2 linked regions of the Arabidopsis thaliana genome follow. The protein of the gene in region 1 purifies or fractionates together with the protein of each later gene. This does not show direct contact. Each region holds a gene or a part of one and is shown on either strand. Other genes may lie near its edges. The genes, in order: CPK30 and CAM9.

Region 1 (16,520 bases):
AATATCTCACAACGTACATATAATTTGGAACCATCCTCTCTCTCGAGCAACATGGAAACAGTTCATGGTCAACATCCATCATATCGAGATCCTCACAGTTTGATCTTTGGTTGCAATCACTACAAGAGAAATTGTAAACTTCTTGCTCCTTGTTGTGACAAGCTCTTCACATGTATACGATGCCATGATGAAGAAGCTGATCACTCGGTGGATAGGTAGTAATATCTTCTACTTTCATACAAGGAGCTTCAACAATCTTGTTGTGTCTTTAATCATCTCTAGTTCTCTTGAATTTTTCATGCAGGAAACAGATTACAAAGATGATGTGCATGAAATGCCTCTTGATTCAACCGATTGGTGCAAATTGCTCAAATACTTCGTGCAAGTCGTCAATGGGAAAATACTTCTGCAAAATATGCAAATTATATGACGATGAAAGGTAACGTTTCTTCCCCTGCTTCATCTTTTCTTGCAAGTTATAAAACTATGAAATGAAATATCGTTCTTGTGCTTTCTTTCTAAGTATCGGTAGAGGGTTAACAGTCAAAGCTTATTCATAACAGGAAAATTTATCACTGTCCTTACTGCAACCTCTGTCGAGTAGGGAAAGGATTGGGTATTGACTACTTCCACTGCATGAAATGCAATGCTTGTATGTCACGTACCTTAGTAGAGCATGTTTGCAGGGAAAAGTGCTTAGAAGATAATTGTCCGATTTGCCATGAGTATATCTTCACCTCCAGCTCCCCAGTGAAGGCTCTTCCTTGTGGTCACTTGATGCACTCCACATGCTTTCAGGTACTTAACCCTGTCAAAATATATTTTACGTTAGTAATGAAAAAAGTAAAACACATGGTAATGCTAAGATTACTTAGGCTTTTTTCTTTGATTCTGGTTGTAGGAGTACACATGTTCACATTACACATGCCCTGTCTGCAGCAAGTCGCTTGGAGATATGCAGGTCAGTTACACCATTTTAAAGCAGAGTATTGTTTTCCCTATAAAACATTCACTAAACAAAAACCTTTCTCACACAGGTCTACTTTAAGATGTTAGACGCATTGCTTGCAGAAGAGAAGATGCCTGATGAATACTCCAACAAAACTCAGGTTTAGATCTTTCTCTATCTCTCTTCATAATGTTTACATAGTACAAAGCATCTCTCTGAAGAATAAGCTGAATGGAAAAATGGTTTGGTGCAGGTGATCTTGTGTAATGATTGTGGAAGAAAAGGAAATGCTCCTTACCATTGGCTTTACCACAAATGCACAACCTGTGGCTCCTACAACTCAAGGCTCCTTTAGATTTTTCTCCAATTTTCCTTTTCCATTGACATCATTGTAGAACCAGCCGTCTATGTAGTACATGGCTGGTAAGAAAACATTTTTGTAACATTTGATGATGTACAAAAATAAAATATAAAAAATATTCCAAATGTAATAAATTAGGGTCGTATCACCCTCAAAGATTGAATTATATAATGTTGACATGAGAACAAAAATCTGGAGACAAATTCCAGTCATCAATAACCTTAAACTTATGACCTACAAAACCAAACCATTGAGATTCCGCCAAAAGATCAAAAAAAATAAGAGGCCTTAAAAGAAGAAAACAAAACAACTAATCTACAACTAAAGCAAATGCATCCTCTCAACATATGATTCAAGCAACCAATTCTTGAGAGGCTCTCCGCTTCCTACAAAACAGCCTGAGTTCCCGTTCTCAGTGAAAAACGGGAAGTTGAATATGTTGAGCAATTCCTCAACTGCTTGTCTAACCATCGACGTGCCTGTGACTCTACTTCGTCTTCCCCAACCAGTTACTATATCAATCCGTGAAGGACAGTCTCCTGAAACCAACATCTGCTTACGGAACCATGCAAGTGTCCTGGAAAGTGCGATGACTGCAGTTCCTTCCGACATTACATGGAGATTTATAAGCCAATAGCTGTAGCTTTTCTCCCTCAATGCATCTGGATACACATTCTTACCTGCAGCCACTTCCCATACCGAGCCAGCCTCTTCTTTTAGACCTGACTTGTGGAGAAAATCCACTACTGCGTCCATGAGTCCTCGCTTGCTCTCTCTGTCCTCACTGTGCATAAAATCAAGGAAGTTGCTGACATGATCACGCACTTTTTGGCCATCAGGACCTGCAGGTGGCATTTTGAGCAGAAACATGTGAGCCGGATGACCTGAGACTGCCATTAGCTGGCCACAAAAGCCCATGTCAAAGTTTGAACGAGCATCTGTGCAACAACTCAATAGCAATGTGTATGTCTGCAAAGAAGGATGTAGACCAAGCGCCAGCATGCTTTGTAATAAGTTATAGGCTTCAGACATCCTGTGGACCCTAAGGAAAGTGCTGAGAAGGGAATTGCAGGTGGGAACATTAGGTCGCAGACCGGCTTGAAGCATTGCTTGATACCACTGCCAAGCTTTATCTACATTGCCAGCTTTTCCCCACAAGTCCACCAAAAGACCGTAAACCGGTTCATCAGGAACCCAGTTCTTACGTTGCATCTCAGCGAAAACACCCTCTGCTTCCTCGAGAAATCCACAGTGTCCAAGTACCTCCATAACAATACTGTAGGTCACTTTGTCAGGTTGAAACCCGGCATTTTGCATGTCTCTGTAGAGCTTCAACGCAGTCTCATAATTCCGCGCCTTGGCATGCAAAGCTATCATGATGTTGAATGTGACCAAATTAGGAGTACAACCTTGACCAACCATTTCACAAAAGAGCCTATGGGCAGCAGGTAAATGGCCCGCTTTTCCAAGACAGTTTATTATAACACTGTAGGTGAAGGTATCAGGAGAAAGCCCTGCTTCTTGCATTCTTTGGTACATATCCATGGCAATGTCAAGAAATCCAGCTTTAGCATGGATATCTATCAGGGTACAGTAAGTTACACGGTCAGGCTCACAACCAGCCTCTTGCATCTGATTAAAAACATTCATCGCTTCTTTGAGGTAATTTGCACGCCCGTAGCTATGGATGAGTCGGTTATATGTAACAGTATTTGGCTTACACCCATCCCTAACCATCTCATCAAGAAGCTTGTTTATCTCACCGAATTGCTTTGCACGACCAAGATTACCTACCATAGTGGTATACGTATGCCCATCATGCTTGAACCCAGGTTGCCTTTTCAGCCAATAGAAGAAACCAAGCGCATTCGCATAATTATCCATCTGCTTAAGAACTTGATTAGCTTGGTATGCATCCATCCTGAAACCAAAATTGTGAAGGGCCTCTTCGGCAGCATGTCCCCACTTGAATCTCCGCAATATACTAGAAACATTTTCTACAACATATCCAGGGTTACAATGCTGCCTAGGTGTTGGAGCAGTCCTTGGAGTCACTTTCATCATTTCCCTTGAGGGTTTACCAAAACCTTCAACAGAAGATATTATCGTCCTGTCATCCGAAGAATGCACACTATAGTCACAACCACCCGACGCATACCTGGTTGAATCAGTATAGGGTCTTTGTGGCATGATTTTCCTCTTTCCAGAGACATTGTTAGAGAGTAAATCATGAGCTTCAAACGACTTCCCAGCAACGTCATTTGAAGCTTGCTTAGTACCTGGAGAGCTGTTTATAGGAACTCGGTCAGCGGACCTAGGATAGACTTTAGCAAGGTGCTCTCTTCTGATGACTTTCACATTTGAAGACTTTACACCTGAAATAGGCCGAGTAGGATCAACCATACAGCTTTTAGGCAAACCAACAACTTCAGTTCCATCTGATAAAGGGATCTTATAGTTTGCTATATCTGACAATAAATTTACATTTCCAATACCAGCCTTGAATATCTGATCACCAATAGGTACCCCCACGTCTTCTTTAATAATAGCAGAAGCATGATTTACAGAATCTGCTTTCCCTGGCAAAGCAGGAGAGGAAACATGTTGCGGAAGAAGCGATGGCCGGGTGAAATGCTCAACCGTCTTTGGGACCACCAGCGGTTTACCAGCCTCTACTGGTAATATACTTCCAGCTAGTCCAGCTGCTAAATTAGATGCTCTTTTACCAGTCTGTACAACTTCAGTCCTAATTTGCTGGCGTTTCGAGACGCCACTTTCATCCTCAGCACATGTACAAGAATTTCCATCAGCAGCACTCGGTCTCGATCCACTAAGAAAAAATGATCTTGCTGAGCTAGAAAGATTACTAATGTGCTTTGCACGAATCATCGTCTGCAAGAAAACAGAATCACACGCTTAGAGAAAACACATAAAGATAATATCAAGAACTAAAAAAAACTGTTCCCCAAAACTATCTTAGTAACCTATAACACTACCTGAAGCCTCTCACCAGAATTATGACAACGGAGCCACCAAACGCAGTAATTAAGGTTTCAACACTTGGTCGTGTAACCAAGCCATGAATTACAAAGAAAAATTACATTTTATTAGCCATCTAGCTCTCTTGTCCACGAAGTTCTACACAAAGAATTGAGAAACTTTGTACATTACTTATTCAAAGTCACCCCATATCTTGTATAATTGTCAGAGTAAAACCCATTTAACAGAATAAAAATTGGGCTTTCCAGTTTTCTCTCAGCTTCTCCACAAAGTATCATCCTTTCACACACCAATAATACCAAAATGGCTATAACAAGAATATACAACAATGTCTATTGTCTAAGCTGAAATAGACCATCCCCATTCTCGAAATGCATTCTAACCAGTTGCTCAAAAAATATGTGCAGTGAAATTGAGCCTCTGTTAGAATCTCTCTTCACCTCTGATTCACATTCAAATCTTAAGAATATTGACCAAATTAAAGTCAACAATTAGAACATACAGTCAAACAAACATTATGAATACGTTCAATCTCAAAATTAACTCTCACAAAAACTGATAACAGCCGAGTTCCAAGCTCGATATCAACGAAAAGCAGAATAACAGAAGAGAAAAGAGGAGAAACCCAGAAATCAATGACATTTATTGCTAAGAAAGAAGCAAAATTTCAATCGGAAAAGTAAAGAACAGAAGCGAGATCACAAGACTACGAAGTCACCTTAAAAACGGTGGTGTTTGACTTCCTTCGTCTGCTTCGTTTTCCCCAGACAACAGAAAAAAGAAATCTTCAGGAGGAAATGAGAAAGAAAAGGAGAGACAGAAGGCGAAATTGCCTTCTCCCTCTGTGGCCGTCAAATATGGAAGCTTCAAAGTTTGTTTTGCTCTCCAAGCAAATTGGGTACTACTAGCTCCAAAGGTCACGACTTTTTTTTTTTTGCTTTTACTCTCTTCTTTTTTTCTTTTCAATAAATGTTTTCCTTTAACATACTTACCTTTTTTCAACTATACCCCTAAATCTTTGTATTTATGAAATAACATCACCCATAAATGTTTTTTCCTTTTATGAATTAGGCAACTCTAAATTGTATCTGATCGATTCGATTACGATACCTTCATAATTTTCAGTATATTCTTTAAATATAATATTAGCAGTGTTTTATATTGAAGAATTTCAGAATTTCTTATTTAAATCGCTTTTCCCGGTTAACAATGTGGTGTCGAATTACTATTTTTAAAGTTAGTGATTGAATTTGGGAATAAAAAGAATATTTGGATTTAGCTGTAAAAACCTTTTTTTGAACTTTTCGTCTTTTATTACTTTGTTCCCCTTTTGAGCAAACGTTTCGGTTCTGTCCTCCTCAAGTTTCTCTGTACTACTTTGAATATGACTGTTTTGTGACTTTCATTTCCTTTACTATTTTAGAGTTTAGAGAGAGATTTTGTGGGTATGATTCGATCCGAACTAAATTTCCGTGGCCTCTTTAATTTAGATTTTAGAACGGCTCCTTTTCTTTAAGATAGATTTTATAAACTTTTAATCCAAAAGAAATATAAAAAATCTGAAAAAATCTAAAAATGTGAAAGCACAACAAAGTTTTAAATAATATTTTGAAAAAGATACTTTTATGCCATTGTATTTGTGCATTTATGTTCTCCTTTGCAAGTGTATTCTCTTTAAGCTAAGAAAAATATATTGGGCTTTCCTATCAGTTATCTTATGAGCCCATTTCAAACTTTGTTTTTCAAGCCCAAATAGCTGCTGTATAAAAGACATTTGCTCGTTATATGATCCTAGTAGCTTCGACAAACTCATACTACAGCTTAATCTGAAACCCCATAGAATCTTAAACTAACCCTAAAGTATTCACTCCCAAACCTCATCATTTACTATAAGTGTGCAACATATGGAAAACAAACTTAGTCAGAGACATACTACAATCATTGAAATTAATGAATTTCAGATTCCAAAATGTAAATAAAACGGACCTGTGTCACTTGATCCATGCCAAATCACTTGCTGTCATTTTCTTGTTCTTCATAACACTAAAAGTTAGACTGAAACATGACTAATCTAGAAACTTATTGAGTTTCCTTATTACTTGAAAAGTTTTAAAAGAGATATGGATGGTAAACAAACCATCCCGCCGGTATATCACTATTCAAAGCCTAAGGCATGGATGATGGATTCATTCATTTCTTTTCTTTTTTTTTGAATTTAAGATTCATTCATATAAAAATATTAATTATCCCATAAAGTATATATAGTTTTAGGCTGTAGATAACAGTTTTATGCAAGAAAAGTGATGGGACTTGAATAAATCGAATAGTTGGCATGACAACGCCACATACACATGCAATCTCAAACATTCTAGTTGAGCCCATCATTTCATACACAATCTCATGTTTTTTCCTTCATCGACGAAAGTCCCTTTTTCCGAATAATAATTTTTCGTATTGTTAGTTTCTTTTTAAATCCTTTTTGCCAGCTAAAAAGTTGCACAAGATAAAACATGGTCCATCATTTCCTCTCTTTTTTTTTTAGGTGTGAAAATCAATCTCATCCATACTAATCTATTTGTAATTGATTTATCTTTTTTTATGGAATTTTATGTCTTAATAATTTATAACATATTACTATATGCATAAACATAACAAAGTTCGAGTAAAATATAACCAAGTTTTAAAACTTGGGGCTTATATAGCTAGTTTTCTCTAATGTATTGATTTACAAAGACTCGCTTTTTTTATTTTTTGCATGACTTTCAACGTTTCACACTCTTTTTGCCAATTGCACTAATTGTTGGTTGAAAGTATAACCGGGAAATAAATAAAAGACCTTCTTTTTTACCTACTGATATCAATTTGATGAGTGACATAAAGTGATAAAACAAAAATATTTATATTCATATGCACAAATTTTATCGTTTAGACGATGTACATGATGATCAAAAAGAGTTTCGGTTTCGAACTTCCAATTAGTTGTTGATAGGATGTGAATGTAAACCCGATTTATAGAAAGCAAACGAATAAGATCACGACATGGCGACACACTTGTCAATTAGTTTCGAATATAAAAATGAGAAATATATGAGAGAAAACAACAAGACGATCGCATTTGTTTGCATTTTTGTTGACTTTGATCAATGGAATCTTCATATATTAGTTTTGATTACTATTTTTTTACACAAAACAAAGTCCGATAGTAAGCTGACTCCTTTACATTGATAAAGTCTACACCTAATAATATCTCATATCTTAGATACAAATTTGATAGCTTTTGAAATTATCTTCACCAAATCTTTTGGTAGAAACTTTCAAATCACACATAAACTACTAGGGTTTTTTTTTGTTAAGAAAATCCAATGCCAGTTTTTATCTTGAATTTGACAACCCAAAGTTATTTATTTTCATACGAAAAATTAATGAAGACATTTTCCACTCGATAAATCTGTAAATATACATATGTATGTATATTGGTAAGAAACCAGTTTTTAAATATTGTATTTAAGAAACCAAATAGCAAAAAAAAAAATTGTAGATTCAGGTAGTTTAGGTAATGCTATAGACATATAATATAAGACAAGAAGACAATAATAATTACTGAATTGAAAACAAAACAAAATATTTTGGTGATACCAAATCAAATGAAACCAACGTCACACTTTTTGACAATGTCACCGTATCCACTTCTACGGTCAACAACTTCATCAAACTCTCCCCTTCCACGTAAGCTACATCTCTACCCTTCATTTTACCACCTATCAACAGATCTAAGGCTATAATTTTTTTAATAGTTATTTTAATTACTTACTCTTTTAGTTACAACACCAGAGACTAAAACTTGTTCTGTAATAATAATACAATTAATTAACTGTTAATCACTGAAAATATTTTACAATTTTTTATAAATTATAGGTTAGAAAATGGCTCAAAATTACAGTTTCTATGTAATTAATTTGTTTAAGTATATAGGGGAGATAGATCAAGTCGCTTTAACTTATTTTCTTTTTGATATAAATAAAAAAAATTATAATCATTTTGATCAATTTTACGAAAAGGTCGAAACTTTCTTCAGCTGAACCCGTGTTTCCTCTTCTCTGCAACTCACCGGTTCGCCGGAAAACTCTACGCCGTCGCCGGATTTTGCACCAACGAAAACTTCTTTAAACTACTTTCTTCATTATTCTTCTGCTGAGTTTCAAAAACTCAGCCATGGGTAATTGTATCGCCTGCGTCAAGTTTGACCCAGACAACTCAAAACCAAACCAGAAGAAGAAACCTCCACGGGGACGGCAACGAAACCCATACGACGATCCCGATGGTTTAAGAACTCACGCACCGTTACGTGTGATTCCTATGAGCCATCAATCTCAGATCAGCGACAAGTACATCTTAGGACGAGAACTCGGTCGCGGCGAATTCGGAATCACGTATCTTTGTACAGATAGAGAGACTCGTGAAGCTTTAGCTTGCAAATCAATCTCCAAGAGAAAGCTCCGAACCGCCGTCGATGTGGAAGACGTCCGTCGTGAAGTCACGATCATGTCAACTTTACCGGAACACCCAAACGTTGTGAAACTTAAAGCGACTTATGAGGATAACGAGAACGTGCATCTTGTGATGGAGCTTTGTGAAGGAGGTGAGCTTTTTGATCGGATTGTTGCCAGAGGACATTATACAGAGCGTGCGGCGGCTACCGTCGCGAGAACGATCGCGGAGGTTGTGAGGATGTGTCATGTCAATGGTGTTATGCATAGAGATTTGAAGCCTGAGAATTTCTTGTTTGCTAACAAGAAGGAGAATTCTGCACTTAAGGCTATTGATTTTGGTTTATCTGTTCTCTTTAAACCTGGTAATTTCCATAAAAATGGAATCTTTTTGCTAAATTTAGAATCTTTGATCTCCATTTTGCTTTCAGGTCACATTGGTTAAGAGTTGACAATTGTGTTACTTTGAATCTGCTTATGAATTTAACTTAAAAGAGAGATTTTGATGCATTTTGCAGGAGAGAGGTTTACAGAGATTGTTGGAAGTCCTTATTATATGGCTCCAGAAGTGTTGAAGAGAAATTATGGACCAGAGGTTGATGTGTGGAGTGCTGGAGTTATCCTCTACATCTTGCTTTGTGGTGTTCCTCCGTTTTGGGCAGGTTAAAGAAAGATTTGATTCTTGTTTGAAGTTGTATATGCTGATTGAGAGTAACTGAGTGATTCAAGGTTTTGATTGCAGAGACTGAACAAGGTGTGGCTCTTGCCATCTTGAGGGGAGTTCTTGATTTTAAGAGAGATCCTTGGTCGCAGATATCAGAGAGCGCAAAGAGCCTTGTGAAGCAGATGTTGGAACCTGATTCAACTAAGCGTTTGACTGCTCAGCAAGTTCTTGGTAATAATGCTGTTCTTGTGTCACTTGTGAATTTTGATCTTCTTTGCTACTTGTTTCTTGTGTTGGATTTGAGATGGAGAAAATGGCATTTAAAGTGAAAACGGTTTCTGTTTCCTTCTTTGCAGATCACCCTTGGATACAGAATGCAAAGAAAGCTCCAAATGTTCCTTTAGGGGATATTGTTAGGTCAAGGTTGAAGCAATTCTCCATGATGAATAGATTGAAAAAGAAAGCTCTGCGTGTAAGTGTTGCCTCTCATTTTTTTCAGATGAGTTTATACTTTTGTTTGGAGCTTTGATTGGTTTAACTTACTTGCTCCCTTTTGATGCTTCCAGGTTATCGCCGAACACTTGTCTATTCAAGAAGTTGAAGTGATCAGAAACATGTTTACGCTGATGGATGATGACAACGACGGTAAAATATCATATCTAGAACTCAGAGCTGGACTCCGGAAAGTCGGTTCACAACTGGGTGAACCAGAGATCAAATTGTTAATGGAAGTGGTAAATGTTTTACCAAATACCATTTCCTTATGAGGATTTTTCTTGATCAAACGATGTTTATCTTCTCTGGTACTTACATTCATGATTTTGATGCAGGCGGATGTTAATGGAAATGGATGCTTGGACTATGGAGAGTTTGTAGCAGTGATAATTCACTTGCAGAAGATGGAGAATGATGAGCATTTCAGACAAGCTTTTATGTTCTTTGACAAAGATGGAAGTGGATACATCGAATCAGAAGAACTACGTGAAGCTTTAACCGACGAGTTAGGTGAACCAGACAACAGTGTTATAATCGATATAATGCGTGAAGTCGACACTGACAAGGTTTTTCTAAAGCTCTATACATCAGCTCCTTTCTCGCTATAAAGACTCTTCCTATAGAAAGTTTATTAAATACTTAAGAGGAGTCATAATGTTTGATTTTGCAGGACGGAAAAATAAACTATGATGAGTTTGTGGTGATGATGAAAGCTGGAACTGATTGGAGAAAGGCATCAAGACAATACTCAAGAGAGAGGTTTAAAAGCTTAAGCTTAAACTTGATGAAAGACGGGTCAATGCATCTACACGACGCACTCACTGGACAATCTATTGCAGTTTGATCTTTACACTTGTTTATCACCAAAACAGAAGCAATCTGATGGCTGCTTTTCTTACACGTTCATGAAGGGTTTTTTTCTGGGCTTTTTTCAGATGTGATTTTGGCTTACTTCACTTTGTTTCTAGAGATTCTTTTTTTTGGTTTTGGGGAAGTTGGAAATTTGTAATTTGTGGGCGTAGTTAGGCTTTTCACTGGAGAATGAATGAATGTGTATGTAATATTTGTTTAATTATTATAAAGCTTCTTTCTATCACTCAGCTTATGTCTTGGACTAACCATAAACAACTGAACCATACAGCTATAAATCAGCAACTGACAAAAATCAATTGGACAAGACATGGGTTTATGTTCGGTTTACAGAGAAAGAATCAGTCAGCTTCTTGAAGTCCATCCAAAACAACAGAACCAACCAACAAAACAACCCCTGTAAGCGCAAGAGCACCGGCCAAAACCGCCTGAGCAACCACTAGAGTAGTTGAGTCATCCGGGATCAACACCACGGCTACAATAGCAGCCGTGAGAGCTGGTAATGCAGCCGAGGCTAAGACCGCAGGCGATGTTCCAGCTAAGTTCTCAAGGAGACTGAGAAGACCAAGGTCCTCTGCTTTGGAGAAGACTTTAAGCTTCTCAAGAGATGACAATGTGAGTCCCAACCCCTCTGCTTTTGACAGCAGGCCAGATTTCTCAACGTTGCTCAACACTTTTCGCTTCTCCAGCTTCTTGAAAACATCAACGTTTATTTGCTCACTCCCTTCGAAAAACAATCCAGCTCCGTACCATTGTTTCTTCCACTTGGCATCATATTTGTTCACCTTTTGTTACCCGATTCAGTGATCACAATTACACAAATTAAAAAGTATATATAAAACTCTGCAACAATACTATATACAGAGACTTCAATGTCTTTGTTCCATTACTAAAATGTACTGCTTATTCATGTTTCTAAAGATTATCTTGAGAATCAAAAAAGATTTATACTTTATGAAGTGATTGATGAAAGTGCAAAAGATCTCAGAACTTAAACAAAGGAGATGATTAAGAGAGTTAGTTACCTTTTTCTGGGGAGCCATAGCTACGACGGAGAAAGTTGCTGGTGATTTTCCGGTGGAGAAAGACCGGCGAAAGCGGGGGAGAATGGGATTGGAGAGAAATTGTGTCTGCAGCTGAGCCGCCGGAGACGATATTGGAGCGCCGACGACAGCCATTGAAGAAAAATCGAAGCGAAGCGATGAAAATGATTTCTTTAGAGATTCTTTCGTGTCTTGTTTCGCCGTTGGCACACTATCTGAAACTCTGATAGACAGAGAAACTGCCACGTCAGATGATGTCTTTGTGATTTCAACCAATCATTTTCGTTAGCGCTTTATCTCCGGTTTTTCACTTAGAATTTATATAATCAGACAATGTTTACATGTAATAGTTTAGGCGTAAACAAAATAAGTTAAATGAGGAATTAGTAAATCATTTTAGATTACAGAGAAAACTACAGAGATACCAAAAGCAAATCTGTGGTCAAAAAACTTTACTGACAAGTTTTGCTTCCTTTTTCACCTCTCAAATCTGAAATCTCTCTCGTTTCCTTCAAAATATTACAGGTCTCAAAGCTCATGCCATCTGATTATAGTTTCCGACAGAATCTGAATAATAAAATGAAGAATCATAATAATATGATAAAATTCTTAACCCATAATGAATCTTTTTATTCTATTTCCTCCTCAGCCCAAGAAACTGTTGGATACTCAAAAACACCTAACATTTACTATCTTGACATCTTTCTCTCCTTAGATGAGTCGATCGGACAAGCTTGGCAACCGCCGGAAAAAATTGAGACTAGCCGTAGGCATTGTGTCTCGGAACATCGGATGCCGAAGATAATAAAACCCTAGAGCCACCGCCACCATTTTCGCAGGAACTGCATACAGAACTATTGTGATTACCAAACAGATTGCTATGAACAGCTTTGTCGCTCTCGGATCTCTCCAGCTAACCAACGCTTGAATCCGTTCTCCTTGCGCTGCAAAATCTCCTAGAATGGTCTGAACCCTCACTGCTAAGATCCTTAATCGGTCGTACCTAGCTCGGATTACTTCTGGTCGCCTTGAGCTTGGTATGGTGTCGAATTCTTCATCTAGCTCATCAGGATCGACGGTTTCAGCTTGTGATAAGCGGATATCCATACCAGCCGGTATCTTGGGTCTAAACCGGTAGTACCAAACTCCGATCATCACCACGTACAAGAATGCAGTCGGGACTACCAAATCAGGGTACCAAACAAGAACCAGATATAGAATATGGACTAGCACCGTCGTCACTGGATTCCTCCACCGCCTGATATTATCCAACCACTTAGCTAAACCCACTGCCCAAGCTAAAACACCAACAATTCTGTACCAATTCGCTTTGCTTTTCCTCATGCTCCATGCATGCGAATCTGCATCTAACATATATCGAACTACCTCTGGTCCCAATGGTGGTTCTGCTCGAGCCAGCCAAGCTGCTACCATTTTCGTGGCGGCCCCTCTTAATGCATCTTGTTGTGCTACACCTAGAGGCCTTATGTAGTGCATCCGAGGCAGAAGCGGCTGTCCATAAGCTGCACAAACATCAGGCAGCAGAGACGGGCATGCAAACCGGACTGCCACTTCAATTTCACCCATTTTTTTCATACCGCTAGGTAACAAAACCAACAGAGGATATGAATTGGTGTACACTTTGTTGCTCTCTAACGTCGACACCCGGATCCGTATCTTCCCAATCCGTGTGTCAGGTCTATCATCGGAGGCGTCAGAGAACATCCTCCAATTGTCGAAGACTCCAACAGTTAGCACGGTGCAAGGATCATAAACCTGCCACGTATACTGCTCGTGCCACCTCGGGTCAAAACTGTCTGTTATGGTTCGAGTCCTGACCCATTTCTTCCCGTACTTAGCAACACAATAAGCATCAGTGGAACCTTTCCCTCCGTTTTTCGCCTTCATCGGCAACAACCCACGAGCTCCAAGAATCCCCAACTCAAGTATTCCAATCGGCGGTTTCCATAGCTGCTTAGCCGTCGGACGGAAATCGCTGCATACATGCGCCGCCTCTTCAAGCACATGATACCCACCTTCGAGACAAAGTCTAAGGCTAATCCTTCCACAATAAGGTCCACCACCACCACCACCTCCAGGTCCTCCTCCTCCACCTCCACCTCCACCTTCTCCTTCCAGAGTGTGCCATTTCGACGGCACAAAACGCTCATCAATTCGCTGCTCGATGGAGCTCACTGGGATCATGGCATGTCCTAGAAGTGTTGCTTCTTTAGTCGTCCGGTCTTCCACCATCAGAACCAAGCAATCTTCCAACGGCTCTCCAGCAACAAAGATCATATCCTCATGCCAATGAAACGAACCACTGTGGTTATTCATTGAGCCTCTTCTTGTACGCGCCGACTGAAACCCTAATTGAGCTTTCACACGAATCTCAGGCGCAGTCAACGGCGGGAGATTAGGAGCTATGTGTAAATCCTGTGCCTCAAGAACCGTCACTCTCAAGTACCAAAGTTTCGGCGATTGATACACCTTAGAACGCGTGTGAGCTACATGCGGAGCATCAGAGCTCCAAGCCTCCGGAAATGCCTCATCTACCTGAGTACCAATCCAAACAGAGAGCTGAATGTCACCGGAAATTCTCCCAGAGTTCTGATCCGCGCCGGAGCCTTCGAGCCGATACCACTGAGGAGCAAGCGGACTATCCGGCGGGTCACGAACCGGAACCTCAGAGAGATCAAAACAAACTCCTCCGAGAAAACTCTCCGACGAAGCATCCCAAGCAGAGATCTCAAGAGTCGCACCAGTTACAGCGGAATCAGACCGGTTATGACCAAGAGCAAAAACCTGATTCCACTCCGGTGAATCAACCGATTCGCCGGGCCGGTTAACGGCCGGTTTAGACCTGACGAAATGGTTCGACGTCCGTACCTTAACATACGCGCTCTCGTTAGGTGGTAAGCCACGCGCCTTCACAATCCGAACGAAGAGATACTGCATTGGCTCAACAAGATTGTAAGGATGATGAGTCTTCTTCTCCATCGTCGTCTCTCCTCCTCCAGTTTTGCTATTGATAACCCTAGGTGAATAATCTCCATTCGGTGGTCTCTTCGTAACCCTAATTCTATCTCCGCCGGGAGGTCTTCCTACTTGCATCTTCCTCACTTCCGGTGGATAATAATGTACTTCCCCAGCCGATGGAGGTGGCGGCGGAGACGGTGGCCGTTGAGGATGGTTATCATTTCGGTGAGGATGGTTATCATTTGGACCTTGCATTACATGCTGCGGTGGTGATTCTTCAACAATAACCACCGGAGGTTGCTGATGTGTCTCTGTATAGCGCTGACTCTGAGCCGATTCGAAAACCCTACCTTCTTCAACCACAACTACATTAGGTTTCTCCGGTGGTATATTCATCATCTGCTGCGGCGGAGGATGAAATTGTTGCTGGTGTTGTTGTTCATCGGCTTCTTGTTGCGGCGGATGAAATTGTTGCTGTTGCTGTTGTTGTTGCTGTCCTCCACCTCCACCCGCCGTGTCTTCGTCGGCGGCTTCGTCGTAATAGTAGATTTTGAGTCCAATCTCGCCGCGAATCCAGCTGAACACACTCTTCTTCTCCAAAGGGAAATACACAAGACCTTCTTCACCTCTTCGCGAGAACTGGCTTCCATAGATCTTAACCCTACCGAGAAAATGATTCTTCCGGCCACCTCCGTTACCAAATCTTTTATCGTTATAAACCTCGATATCGAGCTCGTCGTAATCCATGTTTTTGGGATCGGAGACGGCGAAATCAAGCATCTCGTTCCAAATAGGGTTTAGGTCACGGAACTTAGTGGAGGTTCGTTTCTTCTGAGCATCGAAATCGACAACGACGTAAGCGCTAGAGCTTCCTTGACCATCTTTAGGGAGAATATTACGAGCTTCAACAACTTCGACAACGAGCTTACGCTGGATCCTCGACGGCGGAGGATCCGAGTGAAACGGCGTCGTGTTCATCGTAGTGGTAGTCTTCTCATTTCTCGAGAATGTCTTCTTCTCTCATTAAGATAGTGAGAGAGAGAAGGTTTTGTTGTTTGTGACAGAGATTACGGTAATCGCGGAAGAGAGATAATAGAAAGTTTTTTTTTCGAGGTCTTGCTTTTTTTATTTGAATATATTCCTCTTTAAAGCTTTATTTTATTTACATGTTTTTAGTACTAATGAAATCTTAATTTCCATTAATAAACTAAAAACAAATCCTATGTACTATACACTATTTATTCATTTCATTAGTTTTAATTAAAACTTACTAAATATTAGCTAAAACTGTTTCTGACACGAGTGTAGATAATTAGGTTCATATTTGTGTAGTTTGTGACAAAGTAAATCTAGGTAAAACGTAATGAGGCCAAAGCATTGTGATTAGTAAAATAAAAGAGATGAAATGGGTTGGTTAATTAGAGTGTTAAATATGATTAATAAACCTAATTGAGGTGGAGGGTAAAAAGGGAAAGGAATATATGGTGTTAGAGTGGGGATAATGGGAAATCTGATTCCATTCTCTATCGCCAAGCCTTCGTTTGATTCTTCACTTTTTACATGCGCTCCATTTTTTTAATTGTACTATCTCATTTTATTTGTGTTTTTGTTGACGTGTTGATTCTTCATTTTATAATATGGTACTTTTCAATGTTCCTATAAACCACCACAC
Region 2 (15,340 bases), on another chromosome or scaffold:
CTAAGCTAAAGGTTCATGAGTTACAATTTTTCCTATTGCTGAATTTGACTTGGATGAAAAGTATATGCACTTTGCAAGTTTGCATAATAATGTTAATTTGATATGATTAAATATAGTGTATCGTATAAATAACATGATTAAAATTTATGCACTTTTTTTGCATGAATGTAATTGTTTTTTTAAAGTATATTACATGTTAAAATGAATCACTAATTAATTTGTCATAAGAAAAAAAAAAGAACATGCCAACCGGAGCAAATAGTATGTGTTTTTTTTTTCTTTTCAAAACATGTATAATCATATTTTTTTTGTCAACATGTATTATCAATTATAAGTTTATAATTATTATGGGTACTCTTACCAAACTATTCTAGTAAGGGCAAGTACCTAATACGACAATTTTATAATTACTTATCTAGTTAAGTTATAGGATCTGGCTTTCTATTTGATTAACCCTATACAAATTTTTAAATTTTGAATATGAAAGATGTAATTTTGGAGAAATTTCTTAATTGTATATAATTTGGTTAAAGCACAAATTTATAAAATTTGGGCTACAAGGACATCTAATGGCCTGTGTTATCATGAAGATGGTACACATTAGCCGACAACCACCCGTCCACCACAAGATTACTGTATAAATTGACTATACATCGCATCAATCACACACATTCAGGACAGATCACTAACACAATACTTTAATTTCTGGGATAAAAAAGGAAACTGATCCAAATTACCAAAAGCATGACTCTATCCAAGAAGCTAATGAAATCACTTCAAACATAGAAACCAGTGCACTGATTGTATTAACGACTTTTGTCGTTTCAGGTTTTCAAAGGCTAATACCACTTTACGAGTTGTTAATCTTTCTACCTTTGTCGGATTATTAACCTTTTCGGAAACAAAAGAAGTAATCATCACTCACTTGGTAATTTGGACTTTATTATAAGTATATAACTAGTTGACTTTGTTATGCGTATGAATATAAATCGAAGTATCGAAATTGTGGAAATGTTTGTGTGATATTCTGGCAGACAACATAAATGGGTTCTTATATCACACCTCAATTATATGTACTATGACATCGGCCCCTTTACCAATCTACAGTTTCATACACATGTGTATGCTATATATATATACACACATATACCTTCTAGTTGCATGGTTACATGACTTGCATCCATTGTTTTTGGGATGCATAATTTGTAAGTGACACAGATTATGCGGAAACAAATGTTGCACTTGCTGGACCCATCATATATAATTGTATACATGTGCATATGTCTAGCTATGAGTTAAATTAATTTGGATGTGTATAAACTAAAATTTATATGGCAACAACGCATAAAAACGATGTGGATATAACAGGATCAAGAAAATCTACTAAAACACCTGCGTGGATTTCCTTTAATTGAGCACTAACTAAAATCGAGTTGACATGACTTTTAAAACTGCTTCTTTTTAGCTTTTTTTTTGGTTGATACACGAATCTACAATATCATTGTTTGTCAAATAAGGACTAGGATATATTTATACAAAATATGAAATTAGTAATTTAACCGTTGCATGAATCCATAATTTCTTAATATTTATAGCAAATATAATATTGAGTTCGGGTGCCGGGCAAAAAGGTAGACTAACCTCAAAATTCTTAGTTATACAAAATGGGAAATTCTTGTTGTCAAAAATCTAAAATAATTCTCATAGTACCTAAATTTCTTGTTATGCAGAAGTGCATAATAACCATAGTGACCAGCAATGATTGAAATCGCAAGAAAATAAGTCATAATTCTCCAACCGCAAAATAAATCCTTTAAGCTATACATGCTTTTTATTTTTGATAAAGAAGCATGTAGAATTGCAATGATCATAAGTTTTGGTTGTAACCCCCATAATTTGAAAAAGTGGGCAAGTCTTCTTCAAGTGCCATCCACTTTGGCTAAAATGAGATTCCCAATATATGGATTGGGGCATTGGACCCACTGACTTCTACTAAAGGTTTTATGGTTGGGTACTTGGGTAGTTATCTGCAAAGTTAAAAGAGTTATACGCAAAGTAGATGTTATAGTAACAATATTTTTTTTATTTTTTTTTACTATTTAGGCTTCAAACTTTTTGTTGTTATATGGTTGTGTGACTTGTGTCAGATATTATTATCCACCTTTTTCTCCTTGTGTCTTGGCATGCTCTATTCGGACCGACTACTTTGGATAGGAGAATAAGGCAGTCGTGTGATGTCTCGGTAAGAATATGCATGGGAAATAAAGTAGGCGGTCTCATAAAGTCAAATAAACACATGGATCGCAAATGTCTGGTCGAACTGGATTAATCATTATACATCTCAGTTTACCTTAGTTACTTAACTTACTTTTAAGTGTCATTATCTTAACAAGTGATTTTGATTAAAGAACTTAAGAACAGTTTTACCAAAAATCTCATGTTTGTAGTAAATTATGTATAAGTTCAGATTTATGTGCCTCATAAGTCATCTCCGTATCATTACACAACGCTCATTTTTCAAATTTGTTATTATCTTTTTATAACATGTGATAAAACTTTTTAAGTTGACTTTGGTAACATGCGACAATACTTTCTAATTTGAATAAACATCTTACGAAATGTAGAATACAAAGTTTAATTTTATTTTCTTTGTTGGAAAACGTTAGAATCTAGAATAAAATTCTGGTTTTCATATTTTTTTTTTTTTATGTGTGATTGTAAATGCAAACAAAGCTAGTAACTTAAATAAAATCACATCAACTTAACTAATTTTATAAAAATACACGATCTTTTGATTTTGCCCGATTAACTAATTCGATTTAAATAAACAATTTAGCTCAGGTAGTTGTAAATAGCAATTGTTCGATTTAACATATGGAGCCATATACCAATTCGATTGAAATATCCATAATAATTATTTGGGACAATTAGTCAACAAATGTTACAAATCCAAATCGATTATTTTTAAAAGTAATATAAAATGACTATTTAAACAAAAGATTTTGGTACCAAAATTTTCTCTCTGAACCAAAGTAAACAAAATCAACAGTGTTCTGTAAATCTATATATATAGGTTATTCAAAATTTCGACAATTTAGGAAAACATATTCATAAAATTTCGTTATAATTTTGCCTCGAACTTTTCGCATGTCCTACGCGGGCATTAGAAAATGACGAGTGTACAATGGCATATTGGAGATCACCCGTAGTAACCAGAAAACAAAAGCAAGACAATTTTTCTAGCATGGGTGGACCGTGGACCGGTTATTGTTTGCTAGCCGAACAAAAAGGACTAAATATGACACTATATGTTTTGGGGGTCTAGACAGGCCCATTATTCGCATTTTGGGCCTTGACAATACATCTAACATGGTTGATGGTACACATCCCTTGTGAGGATCCAAATTCACTAGTCTCTTAACAAATAGTATTTTTCATAACAAATCTTAATAATTTTTTACGAAGAGGAGGTAATATTATGCCAATATTTCTCTTTTAAGTAACATATTTATTTCCAAACGTACAATTAAATGAAAAACGTGTTTAGTGGAACTACAACAATATCATAAATCAACATGACTTGTTTAAAATGGAGTAAAAAATAAAAAAATGTCATGATTTTGCTTTGAAATAGACAATGAAATTTTGTGTTTAATAAATAAATAGACCATCAAAATTGATGCTTATACGTAACAAAGTATTAACGCATAGAATTAATCGATAAGCACCAATTACCAAATACTAAACTAGCTAGTCTACTCTATAATCCCGAATTGTAACTTCATTCATACTATTAAAAAATATTTTCGGAGAAAAAGTCAAAAGAAATGGTTCAATCAAATGTCTCCACATTATTTTGTTAAGCAGGTTGCTGAATATAAAATAATTCGAAATCTCTACTATATTTTATCATCCTGTCTGTCTCTGGTACTACAGACCAGATGTTGAGTACAAACACGTACCATGAGGCATCGCGGTAATGCATCAAGTGTCACTTAGACTGTTCGACACATGTTTGAGGATTGCATCAAAAAGGTGGCTACGAAGTCTACAGCTTCTAGGAAGAGTCCAAGCGGACCAATTAGGATTTGTTCTATGTATGGTCAAAACCTATATAGAATTTGTTTGCTAGCGTTGCTATTATCTTTTTTTCTTTTTGTTGATTAAAAAAAACTATGTTCTCCGAATGTAAAAAAAAAACAACAACGAAGTTCTGCTCCAGATACTGTTTTAACCGGCCAATTCAGAATAAACTGATTTAAATACATGTACCCATTCTTGAAGGTCAAACGACAAAAAATATATACAAATTGTTTGCTAGTGAATTACTATTATCTTTTTTCGTGTATTTTTTTGTTGATTAGAAACTATGTTCTACGAATGTAAAGAAAAAATACAACAACGAAGTTGTGCTCCAGATACTGTTCTGACCGACCAATTCTGAATTACCTGAGTAGTCCATTTTAAGGCATGTACCCATTTTTTCTCTTTTGGGTTAAGGGTTTAAGTTTTTGCTTTAAAAAGAAGAAATGTTTTGTAGCCATATATTAATATAAAAGTGTATATTTTATAAATATCTCTAACTTATATATTATAAAGAAAAATACCTAAGAAATTTACTAGTCAGAAATTAATGGAGGCCTTCGAATTGCAGGGAATTTGTCAATCAACTCTTGGAGTACTTCTGGTTGGTTTTATTTTAGCCTTAACCAATCCGGTTTAGACCCAAGCCAAATGTCAAGATGAGACAACAGCCACATCAACATTAAAACCAAACTTAACCCAATTACAATTTGCCATTTGCATCACTCTTTGTTTTTATATTTGTAAAACACAAAAGGTGGGTCCTAATACTAACAATGTGAAAACCATACCGTACAGTCCTCAATTACGAAGTTCCAGAAGTTTCGACTATTCGAATGTGCATCAAAAAGGTCCAAAACCGTTTCCAGAAGTTTCTAATTTCTAACTTGAGTGTACTATAATAATAATTTTTACAAATATTTTAATCAAATCTAATATCATCACTCACTTTCTACTCTTCCTATATAAAGCCACCTCAAAATTATCTTACGTGGACATTACCTTCCTCACTCCATCAACTGCCATAAACGAACTTAATCCGACCAGTTTTTCAAAATCCGAAGATGATGAACTCAACTTCGGAGACTGGTTAATCGAAATCATCAAGAATCTTGTCTTTAATTTCCAATTGGGTTTTTCAAAACCCGTTACCTCAGGATGATGAACCCGTTTCTCCCGGAAGGCTGCGATCCACCACCACCACCACAACCAATGGAGGGTTTACACGAAAATGCTCCACCTCCATTTCTGACCAAGACATTTGAGATGGTGGATGATCCAAACACTGACCACATCGTATCTTGGAACAGAGGAGGAACAAGTTTTGTCGTCTGGGATTTGCATTCTTTCTCCACGATTCTCCTTCCTCGTCATTTCAAACACAGCAATTTCTCAAGTTTCATCAGACAACTCAATACTTATGTGAGTCTTCTCTGCTCTGTATTCTCTGACCAAACACAAAACAGAGCATTCAAAGCAGAGGAATGCTCTGTTTTTTTCTTTTATTTTTTTAACTTTCATTTCCCTTGTTGCTGGAAAATTACCGCGAAGTATTCTGAATGTTACTATATAATTAACTTGGTAATGGAAAAAAGTCATTTTTTACAGCAGAATCTGTTGTTAATTTAGCATTCTAGAAACATCGAAAATGTAGATTCCGTAATGGCTAGTGGAGTAGAAGAAGGTTTAGTAAGTTCCAGAAGCAAGTTTCGTGTCAACTTGCTTACTAAAATAATCAAAAGAAACAGTCAGCGATCTTATCCCAATTTCCATTGTTTATTCACTAATCAGCTTTAACGTTGCCCACTTGTTCCATTCTTTAACATATAAAAACATAGAAAGAGTTCTCACTCCAATTATTGATGTTTGTGAGAATATGTAGACTTTCAAAAGATTAGTTTTTGAATACTTATGTTAAAAAAATTACAGGGTTTCAGAAAGATAGAAGCAGAGAGATGGGAATTTGCAAACGAAGAGTTTTTGTTAGGACAAAGACAGTTGTTGAAGAACATCAAGAGGAGAAACCCTTTTACTCCATCATCTTCACCAAGCCATGACGCTTGCAACGAGCTTCGCAGAGAGAAGCAAGTGCTAATGATGGAGATAGTGAGTCTAAGACAGCAGCAACAAACAACGAAAAGCTACATCAAAGCTATGGAACAGAGGATAGAAGGAACAGAGAGGAAACAGAGACAAATGATGTCGTTTCTGGCTAGAGCAATGCAGAGTCCTTCGTTTTTGCATCAGTTGTTGAAACAAAGAGATAAAAAAATTAAGGAGCTTGAGGATAATGAGTCAGCAAAGAGGAAAAGAGGTTCTTCTTCGATGTCGGAATTGGAAGTTTTGGCTTTGGAGATGCAAGGGCATGGAAAACAGAGGAATATGTTGGAAGAAGAGGATCATCAACTGGTGGTAGAGAGAGAGTTGGATGATGGTTTCTGGGAAGAGTTGCTTAGTGATGAGAGTTTGGCTTCCACCTCCTAACTAGATGGATTTCTTTTTGGTTTTGTTTTTAGTTTCTTCTACTTTCAAGCTCATTTTCTTCTGTCACAAAAAAAAAACTTTTTCTGTTTGTTTAATTAATTTGCAGTAATTTTGTTATCAAGTAGTAGTAGTAGTAGTGTAAACAAAAAAATGGTTAATTCTTTCATATATGTGTATATGTATGTGATAAATATGATTGTTATTAACTCCATCTAAACTCTTCTCTGATCTCTTCTTACAAAGACCTATTGATGACGTTGAATGATGTCTTTGTCTGCTTCACTCTTTTTTGCCCTAAACCCTTTTTCCAAATGTGATCTCTCTTTTTCACATCATTTAATGCTATTAAGGAGTTTTGGCTTATTTGGGTCAGTGTTAAGACAAGTCCACATGAGTGAGCAATCATCCATGTCCGTGATTCTAACCTGTAACAGTGTTAATTTAGTGGAATCATGTAATATGGTTTACTCTCTCCGGTCAAAATTCTGATCTCTAGTCTTCAAGAAAATAACTTTAAAATGAGAGCAAAGACAACTATGAGCAAGAAGATTGCTACAAAGATCAAGAATCCACAAGATGGTGGAATGTCTCATGACAAAGAAGAGGAAAACTCTTTAGCAGTGATTAGCTGTTCTGTTTTCTGATCTAAAGTTTCTTCTACAGCAGCTAGTTGTTGATTGACAAAAAAAAAATCTAATCAATCTCCTATCTCCTTCCTATGTTGCCATCGCCTTGTTTGCATGGCTGGACTGTAGAAACTTTTCCACGGAAACAAAGCTATAATCAATGTAAAGATTCTTGCTCAATCAGTCGTAAGGGTTTTAGAATGGAGTTCAACCAAAGCCTTATCTTTTTTAGACACTACTAAAACGAATATTGCAAGTACTAAATTGCTCTACTCAATGTAAATATACTATCTCAGCTTCTAGGTCATTTTGTGTCCACTGTGATGAAGAAACATGAATCGAGAGACAGATCTCAATATGAGTGAAAGTGACAAGCATCAAGAACATCATAAATTTCTACAACAACCGTCGGCAGACAAAAAAGCAAAGCTACTTAACCTTCAATGATGGGGACTTGAATTGGAATTTGGAACAAACAATTTATAGCAAAGCTGATAGGTTATAAACAAATTCGACAGTTCAACAGATTTTCTCACCATTTACTTATTAAAAAACCACTGATTTTTGGTTCTTCAGACTGCTTCTTCATTAGGGTTTTGCAAGGATTGAAGATGGAAGTTAAGGATCGACCACCAGTTCAATTGTGGCACGCTACCGTCGAGTGACCGAGTCAGATAATTACTCTCGGTTTAGTTCGGTTTGGATTTTCCGGTTTAAAAAACATATGTTTAAAACAGAACAATACTTTTGGTTTGGTTTGGTTTGGTTCGAATTTTGGATAGGAAAAATATTATAGTTTTTTATCGACCGAAAAAAATCATTGATTCAGTAACACACACTTTAATTATATGTTGGGAAAATATAGTAACATATTGAAATATAGTTGTAATTGTGCAAAAACAAACTCTTAAATCATGGCATTTCACAAAATGCTAATAAGAGGCAGCAATCATCATTTTAGAGAATTCGTGGAAAGAAAGAAAACCATCGCCATCAAGGTCGGCTTCTCGGACCATATGCTCCGCTTCTTCTGCTGTTATCTTCATCCCCATGTCCTTCATTCCTTCTCCCAACTGCATTTCGTTTATAGAAATTAGGAGAAATGGCTAAATAAACTATAGTTAAGACTTAAGAGTTAAGAGAATGGCTTATATTATAAAAGTAAGCTAATAACCATTTGACCAAGTTAAATGACCAATCTTTTTTGCATTATTTTTGAATATAAATCTTTTTAATTCAGATAACGAAGTATTTTTCAAGTAGTATGTGACTATGTGTCTCTCGATTGTTGTGTTGTCGCCGTGTCGGTTTGAGAAAAAAAAAACAAGACCATATGAGCAATGGAGTTTCTTATGGCGACAAAAATTTGTGTTGTAATGAGTGAATGATAGTAGATTATAAAGATAATAATAACAAGGTCTTCAAAAAAGTAACATTTAGTAATTTCTCTTCTTTCGTTATATCCATCTACATGATCACTTAATCTTATTATATATGTATGTAACTCGTTTTTTATTGTTTCCATGTCAGGACAATGTACTATTTGGTAAATAGTTAGACAATTTATTTACCTCAAGTTGAGATATGAGACCATCTCCGTCTCTGTCGAACACTCTGAATACCTCAATTAACTCATCCGATGCTGATTCCTACAACCAATTTTTTCATTATTAACTTTTCTCTACAATTATCAATCTTTACTATAACTAAACGGTTTTAAGTGTGTATATATATTTTACCTGAGAAGTGTTTTGAGCCATAATATACAAGAAATCATCAAAAGTGATGCCACCGTTGCCAAAGATGTCAACATCGCTCATCATCTGTTGCAGTTGTTCCGCCTTTGGATTCTTCCCCATCGACTTCATCACTTTCGTTAGCTTCTCCTTCGTGATGAACCCTGTTTCACATGCATCATAACATCATCAAACCGATCGATTCTGAATAAATTTGTGTATCAAATCGAACAAGAAAGAGAGAGAACAAAGCAGACCATCGGAATCTTTGTCTATGAGACAGAAGGCTTCGTAAAACTCTTGGATCTGTTCATCTGTGAAAGCATCCGCCATATCTTCGATCACAAAGAAAAGTCAAAGTCTGTCTTTGATTCAATCTGATGATCAGCTTCTCTTAATTTGTTAGTGATGAGAGAAGAAGAAGGGAGCATCTATCACATTTAAGTACACATCACCTCTTGGCTCTAGGCTCTTGCCCGGTCAAGGTCAATACTCATGACCTTGCGTTTTCATTAGTTGTGATATTTTTTCTTGAGCACGATTCCAGGTCACGCGTCTTTGTTCAAACTTATGACTTCAACGCTTATTTTTCTTTATTTTCATAGTTATTAGAAAAAATACTTATAGGGAATTAAATTAGGATCTTGATTATTGCGAAAAGAAAGGGTGGAGTAATGCTCGGGTTTGAGGACTCAAGAATTAAAAGTCGTACACCAAGTTGCATTTTAAGAAATAATTGATGTACGCGTGTCTCTAATGTAACCCTTGATTTTGATTTTCCATTATTTAGTGTCCTAACAACTTCTGTCAAGAATTCCATTCAGTAACTTTGAAAAGTTATATGTCTTGTTACCATAAAAAGCGAAACATATCTTAGAAGTGGGTTTTTTTTAATACCAAATGGGATTTAAAAGGTAATCAATATGAAAAAAACGGACTGACCATAAACATTTTTCTTCTTGTACAAACATGTCTCTCCAAAGCAATGCAGATAAGAGATTTGTTAGAGATGTTGTGTTCTAATTCTAACTCCTACTTTTATTCACGTTATGATGAGAAGTTGAGAACGAAACATTGTAATGTGAATAAAGGCTTAATCTGATAAATATTGTGGGGTCTCTTATGTTTATGTCCATCCAATATTAGTGGCTTACGGCTAAGAAAAATATGAAAATATATTGTAGTGTTCTATACTTCCATTCGATCTGTTTTCCACTTTTGAATGATTCAAAAAGTCTGGATAACCATAAGTTTACAAATTTAAACAAATATTAAAATACTGTTAAAAACAAAACAAATCACTAATACTACAAATTAGAATTTCGGATAGATGTTTCATTCTACAATCGGAGAATAGACTAGTTCAAAAGCGGATACATATTAAAAGATTATCGATCCAACAAACCAAATTCGATGCAAATATATTAAAAACAATATCCGCTTTGTGCCTACCTACCCTGTCCCATACGGTCATAATTAAGAATTGAGGCTAAGTAGTATTAACTGCAAAAATGTTCCGCACTAGTCACACTACTTTGGTCGTAAGCTTACTAAAGAGGGAGATGCCGTGTTATATATCCTTAATTGGATGTTAGTTGGTGGCGTTATCTGTTTTGGTATCTAGAGATCTATGCCTCATTTAGATCTTCTTCTCTTATCATAGTGTATTTCTCATTTACAAACAACCAAACAAATTAAGAAATAAGATATGGGTAAGTAAGATCATAAACGTTAATGTTTGATTTGGTATGTATGATACGATTCAGAATCAGACTCACGCGAATTTACGCTCCCACTACGCTTTACTTAGCGGAGATCGGATTCGGATCTCTCATTTGATTACATTTTCAGCTAATTTTGTTTTTTATTGTTGTTAACTTAACTTTCATTTCATCACACTAGTCTTTGTTTGATGTAAAACAGATATCTTGATTCCCGTATTAGATGGCAGAGCTCCCTTATTTTTGTCTTCTCCCACCAATATTATACTATGTTCAAAAAATAAAATAAAAACATAATATACATAAGGGACGATCACTACAAATAAGCATGCATCAATCGATGTAAATATATCCATTTGGGAATATTATTTGAGAATCTAACTCGTAGTCGTAATTATAATATGTAACGATGCTACCAACTAATTAAATAAGTATTTTGAGGTTAAACAATGTTTTTCGGTTTAGCTTATTTAAGTCATCCAAGTATAATAACATAAGTTTGTTGACAAAAAAAAAACAGTATTTTGAGGTTTACTCATTACTACCAACTCATTCGCATTTTGTCGTAACTAATTTGGTATATCGTATACTTGAAAAATACATATATCTATATCTTGATTTTCATAATCCTTAACGTTACAGTATCCACATATGGTCCAATTAACATCACTGGTCAAACAAGAGAACAATGATCAATCCGTTACTATGATATGCACACATTAAATTTAAGGCTCCTGAAGTGGTTTCATATATTATAAGATTCCATGAGCCATATATCACGAATTAATGAAAATGCGCAAATGATAAGCAAAAGGCAAAAAAAGGAGGCTACGCCACCTGTCAATGTAGCCGTTGCACCTTCTCCTCCTTTTTAAAAATAAATACTCTTTTTAACATTTCCTCAAACGCTCCAATTTTGTTGGTTTCTCTGTTCCAAAATAGAAACGAAATCTTGAATCTCTTGATACGATGGTGAGATCAATCCAAGAAGGAGTCTTGATGTCTTCATCTTCTTCCTCAACCACAAGCAACAGCAACGACTCCGACGGTTCTCTCAGCCCATCTGCGTCCACCAAAAGCTTCGTCCTCAACACTCTCCGTCCGCCTATCACCGGCGCGTACAAGCCACTCGCTGTTCTCTCTGCTCATGTCGGCTCTGTTTCTTCCTTAGCGCTCTGTGGTGAGTTCTTGCTGAGTGCGTCTCAGGGAAAAGATATCATCGTTTGGCAACAGCCTGATCTCAAGATCTTTGCGAAATTCGGACAAGGTGATGGGTCTGTGAAGGCTTTGGTCAGCGTGGGAAGCAAAGTGTTCACGGCGCATCAAGATAGTAGAATCAGAGTTTGGAAAGTTTCTCGGAGAAACTCTGAGAATGCTTTCAGGCTTGTTGATACACTTCCCACGACTAAAGACTATCTGGGGAAGTTTATGAAACAGAGCAATTACGTTCAGACGAGGAGGAACCATAAGCGTCTCTGGATTGAACACGCCGATAGCATTTCGTGCCTTGCGGTACACGCTGGGATAATCTACTCTGGATCGTGGGATAAGACTCTCAAAGTCTGGAGACTGTCGGATCTCAAGTGTCTTGAATCGATCAAGGCTCATGATGACGCAATCAATGGTCTTGTCGCCGGAGATGGCAGGGTATACTCTGCTTCCGCAGATGGGAAGGTCAAGATATGGGGGAAAGAGAAGAGAAAGCAGATTGAGTCTACTTCTTCCTCTTCCTCTTCTTTACATGTTTTGAAGGCTACGTTGGAGGGTCGTGCAGAGGTGTCAGTGAACTCGGTGGTGGTTTCCGGTGACGGTAATTGGGTATACGGAGGAGGATCAGACGGGTTTGTGATCGGATGGGAGAAGAAAGAGAAAGAAGGAGACTTTGAGGAATGGAGATTAGGGTTTGAGACAAGAGGACATAACATGGCAGTTCTGTGTATGTGTGTAGTTGGGGAAATGGTATGCAGTGGATCGGCTGATAAGAGCATTGGGTTGTGGAGGAGAGAAGTGACTGGCATGCTCTGTAAATTCGGAGTCATACATGGCCATGAAGGTCCGGTCAAATGCTTACAAGCGTCGCCAAACAATGTCGGTGCTGGCTTCATGCTTTACAGTGGAGGCCTTGACAAGAGTCTCAGGGTTTGGTGGGTACCAAAACAAGACAACTTAGAAGAGAAGAAATCAAGCTTTAAGACATTGTTGACGCAAAAGGAATGAGTGAAAGATATAGTACTTTTTTTTTTTTTTTTGGATTGGTTTTCATATACGTTTTGGTTTATATTTGTAATTTGTTATTCATTTTGTAAAGTCATGAGGGATTTTTTCAAGAAATTATATGAATTGAATTCTTATTTTGTTAACATTTGTGTCTACCAACTGTTTTGGTCCTAATGATATAGAACAGAGTAAAGTCTGATGCTTTTGGGTTACCTTTGCTTTGTATTGAAACTGTAGCAATGGAATGCTCACCGTCCAAATAGTAAAGCAGAGTTTGCAACTTTCTCCATCACCATCATGCAAAGCAGACGCACCCATTGCTTTGAAAGTGAAGCATATACCCAACTTTGTTGATTCCAAATCACACTCTTTAAAGCAGAATAACTCAGTTTTGAATATAAAAATGAGATGAGGAAGCTTTTAAGGAATGCATTGAGCCAAAACATAAGTGTATTCATGTGTGTAGATGCCTTTCTTTTCGAAGTTGGAATCAATTAAGAAAAGTGTGAATAAAACATCTTCACAAAGAACACAATCATTATCAATCCAGCCTCAAAAGGCAAAAACCTTGAATACTTTAGTATGTATGAGACATTATCATCAAAAAGGGTACTCCTATATACTCTACATATGCTAATTCTGAAGTGGAAACACAAAACCATGCCTTTTGAGTTAACATGGAAGTCAATGGCTAAGCTAAAACTACACTGCCTGCACAGACCATAACAAGCTAAGACTTCAAACACAAAAAAAAAAAAAACATAACAAAAAACAATGGATCATTTGGTTTACTTAGTTGAGAAATTGACCTTCCTGTTCTGATAATCATCTCTTCTAGGCCATGAGTTTTTGTAGTTAGAATGGTAGCCATATGAGTCAACTCTTTCCTTATTTTGCCTACCCCAACCATCACCCGTTCGTTTTGCGTCCCAGTTTCTTTGATTTCCCTCACACCCTCTACGTCTTTGCCAATCACCTGCATTTGCCCCATATTCTCTCAAAGCTGCATTGTCATTTTGCCTACCCCAACCATCACTGGCTCGTTTCACATCCCAATTTATTTGCTTTGTCTCACTCCCTCTACATGTTTGCCAACCGCCTGCATTTACCCCAGATTCTCTGAAAGCTACATTGTCAGGCACAAACCCACCTTTCCATGGATTACAACCCTTAGGCTCCCGAAAATCTCGACTATATCCTTTACCACGCCACTCCTTCATCTCCATACCTTGATTTCCCAAATCCCGGTTATCCCATCCCCCACTGCCCCAAGAATCATTATTCCAACCTCTATCCTCCCATCCCTCACCAGAGCAACCTCCCCAAGTGGTATCTTTTGCTGTCTCTTTTATACAACTAGGCTGGGCTTCCCAAGGATTGTCGATCTTTTTATACTCTTCAGAACCTTTTACTTTCTTGTTTTGGTGCCCTGACTTATCCCATCCATCATCCTTTCCCTGGCCCGAGTACTCCCAACTGTCATTAACCCTATCTTTGGCTATCCACTGATTCTCCCTCCATTCCTCAGTCGTCAAACAACCCCCTGAAGCTGTATCATTTGCTTTCTCGTTTACACAACAAGGCTTAGCTTCCCAAGAACTACCCTCTGTTAGGTTCCATCCACTAGATTTCTTCCCCGTTTCAATAATGTCATCACTATTTTTCCATGGAGTTTCTAACATACGAGCCTCAGGCACTGTGTCACAACCACTCCAATTCTTATCCCCACGCCCCCGTTTAAAACCAATATTCACATCATCAGGAGGAGCAAAGTAAGCCTTTTCTAAATCTCTAATCAGTTCCGGGTCAACAAAAGTATCCCAATCTACTTCACTAATGTAAAGATCAGGATCAGGAATAGAAACATCACAATGAAGACCATTAACTTGTGACCAAAACCGCTTCTTCTCATTGTGAAAAGTGTCTTCGCAAGCAGAATCATCCCAAGTGATAACATTACCATTATACCAGCTCTTAAAGTCTTTAGCTTCAACAACTTTTTGCCATGGTACTGATCCAATCACTTCACAGAATCTCTTTTCCCAAACTGGAATCCCATCGTCTTCACAATAAACTTTGACAATCAAACACTTGTAAGATACAGAATTAAGCAAATTAAGAGTGGAGATTAAGATCAACAAGGAGAATACCTGAAGAAGAAGAAGATTGACGTCCGCTATACCACCGCTCAGGAGACCTGCGACGGTGGTGTCTGGATCGATGATTCCACTTTCCCATAAAGAATCTCAATCGACGATGATGGATTTTGTAGAACTTAGGGGTCAGCGGGAGAATTTGGGAGCTGATGAAGCAAACGAATTGGAAATTGGAAATTGGAGAAGAGAGCAGTGAATTCGGTCGGTGGTGTCGTCTATTCAACTTCCGGTTCTGTAACGGCCCGATTTCATTTCGTGTGGGCTATAAATGGGCCTAATATAATAGGTCCACATATAATTAGGCTATAAAATGTTTT

The links.
Region 2: the proteins of CPK30 (region 1) and CAM9 purify together in Arabidopsis thaliana (affinity purification with western blotting, with the first as the bait; one study listed by BioGRID). This does not show direct contact.

The regions. Positions count from the first base shown.
Region 1 is NC_003070.9:28,074,479-28,090,998, reverse strand, and holds CPK30 (calcium-dependent protein kinase 30), read left to right. Parts: upstream 1-8,327; 5' UTR 8,328-8,522; coding exon 8,523-9,162; intron 9,163-9,315; coding exon 9,316-9,459; intron 9,460-9,539; coding exon 9,540-9,692; intron 9,693-9,817; coding exon 9,818-9,933; intron 9,934-10,027; coding exon 10,028-10,195; intron 10,196-10,291; coding exon 10,292-10,522; intron 10,523-10,626; coding exon 10,627-10,800; 3' UTR 10,801-11,053; downstream 11,054-16,520. Other genes in the region: AT1G74770 (zinc ion binding protein), read left to right, coding at 1-215, 305-439, 564-798, 902-961, 1,038-1,109, 1,203-1,304; AT1G74750 (Pentatricopeptide repeat (PPR) superfamily protein), read right to left, coding at 1,632-4,199; AT1G74730 (transmembrane protein, putative (DUF1118)), read right to left, coding at 11,168-11,611, 11,852-12,004; QKY (C2 calcium/lipid-binding plant phosphoribosyltransferase family protein), read right to left, coding at 12,581-15,826.
Region 2 is NC_003074.8:19,260,053-19,275,392, forward strand, and holds CAM9 (calmodulin 9), read right to left. Parts: upstream 9,607-15,340; 5' UTR 9,263-9,606; coding exon 9,187-9,262; intron 9,094-9,186; coding exon 8,933-9,093; intron 8,843-8,932; coding exon 8,765-8,842; intron 8,267-8,764; coding exon 8,126-8,266; 3' UTR 7,899-8,125; downstream 1-7,898. Other genes in the region: HSFA7A (heat shock transcription factor A7A), read left to right, coding at 5,242-5,505, 6,013-6,567; AT3G51930 (Transducin/WD40 repeat-like superfamily protein), read left to right, coding at 11,620-12,867; AT3G51940 (oxidoreductase/transition metal ion-binding protein), read right to left, coding at 13,656-14,941, 15,018-15,105. UniProt on the Arabidopsis thaliana protein: Potential calcium sensor.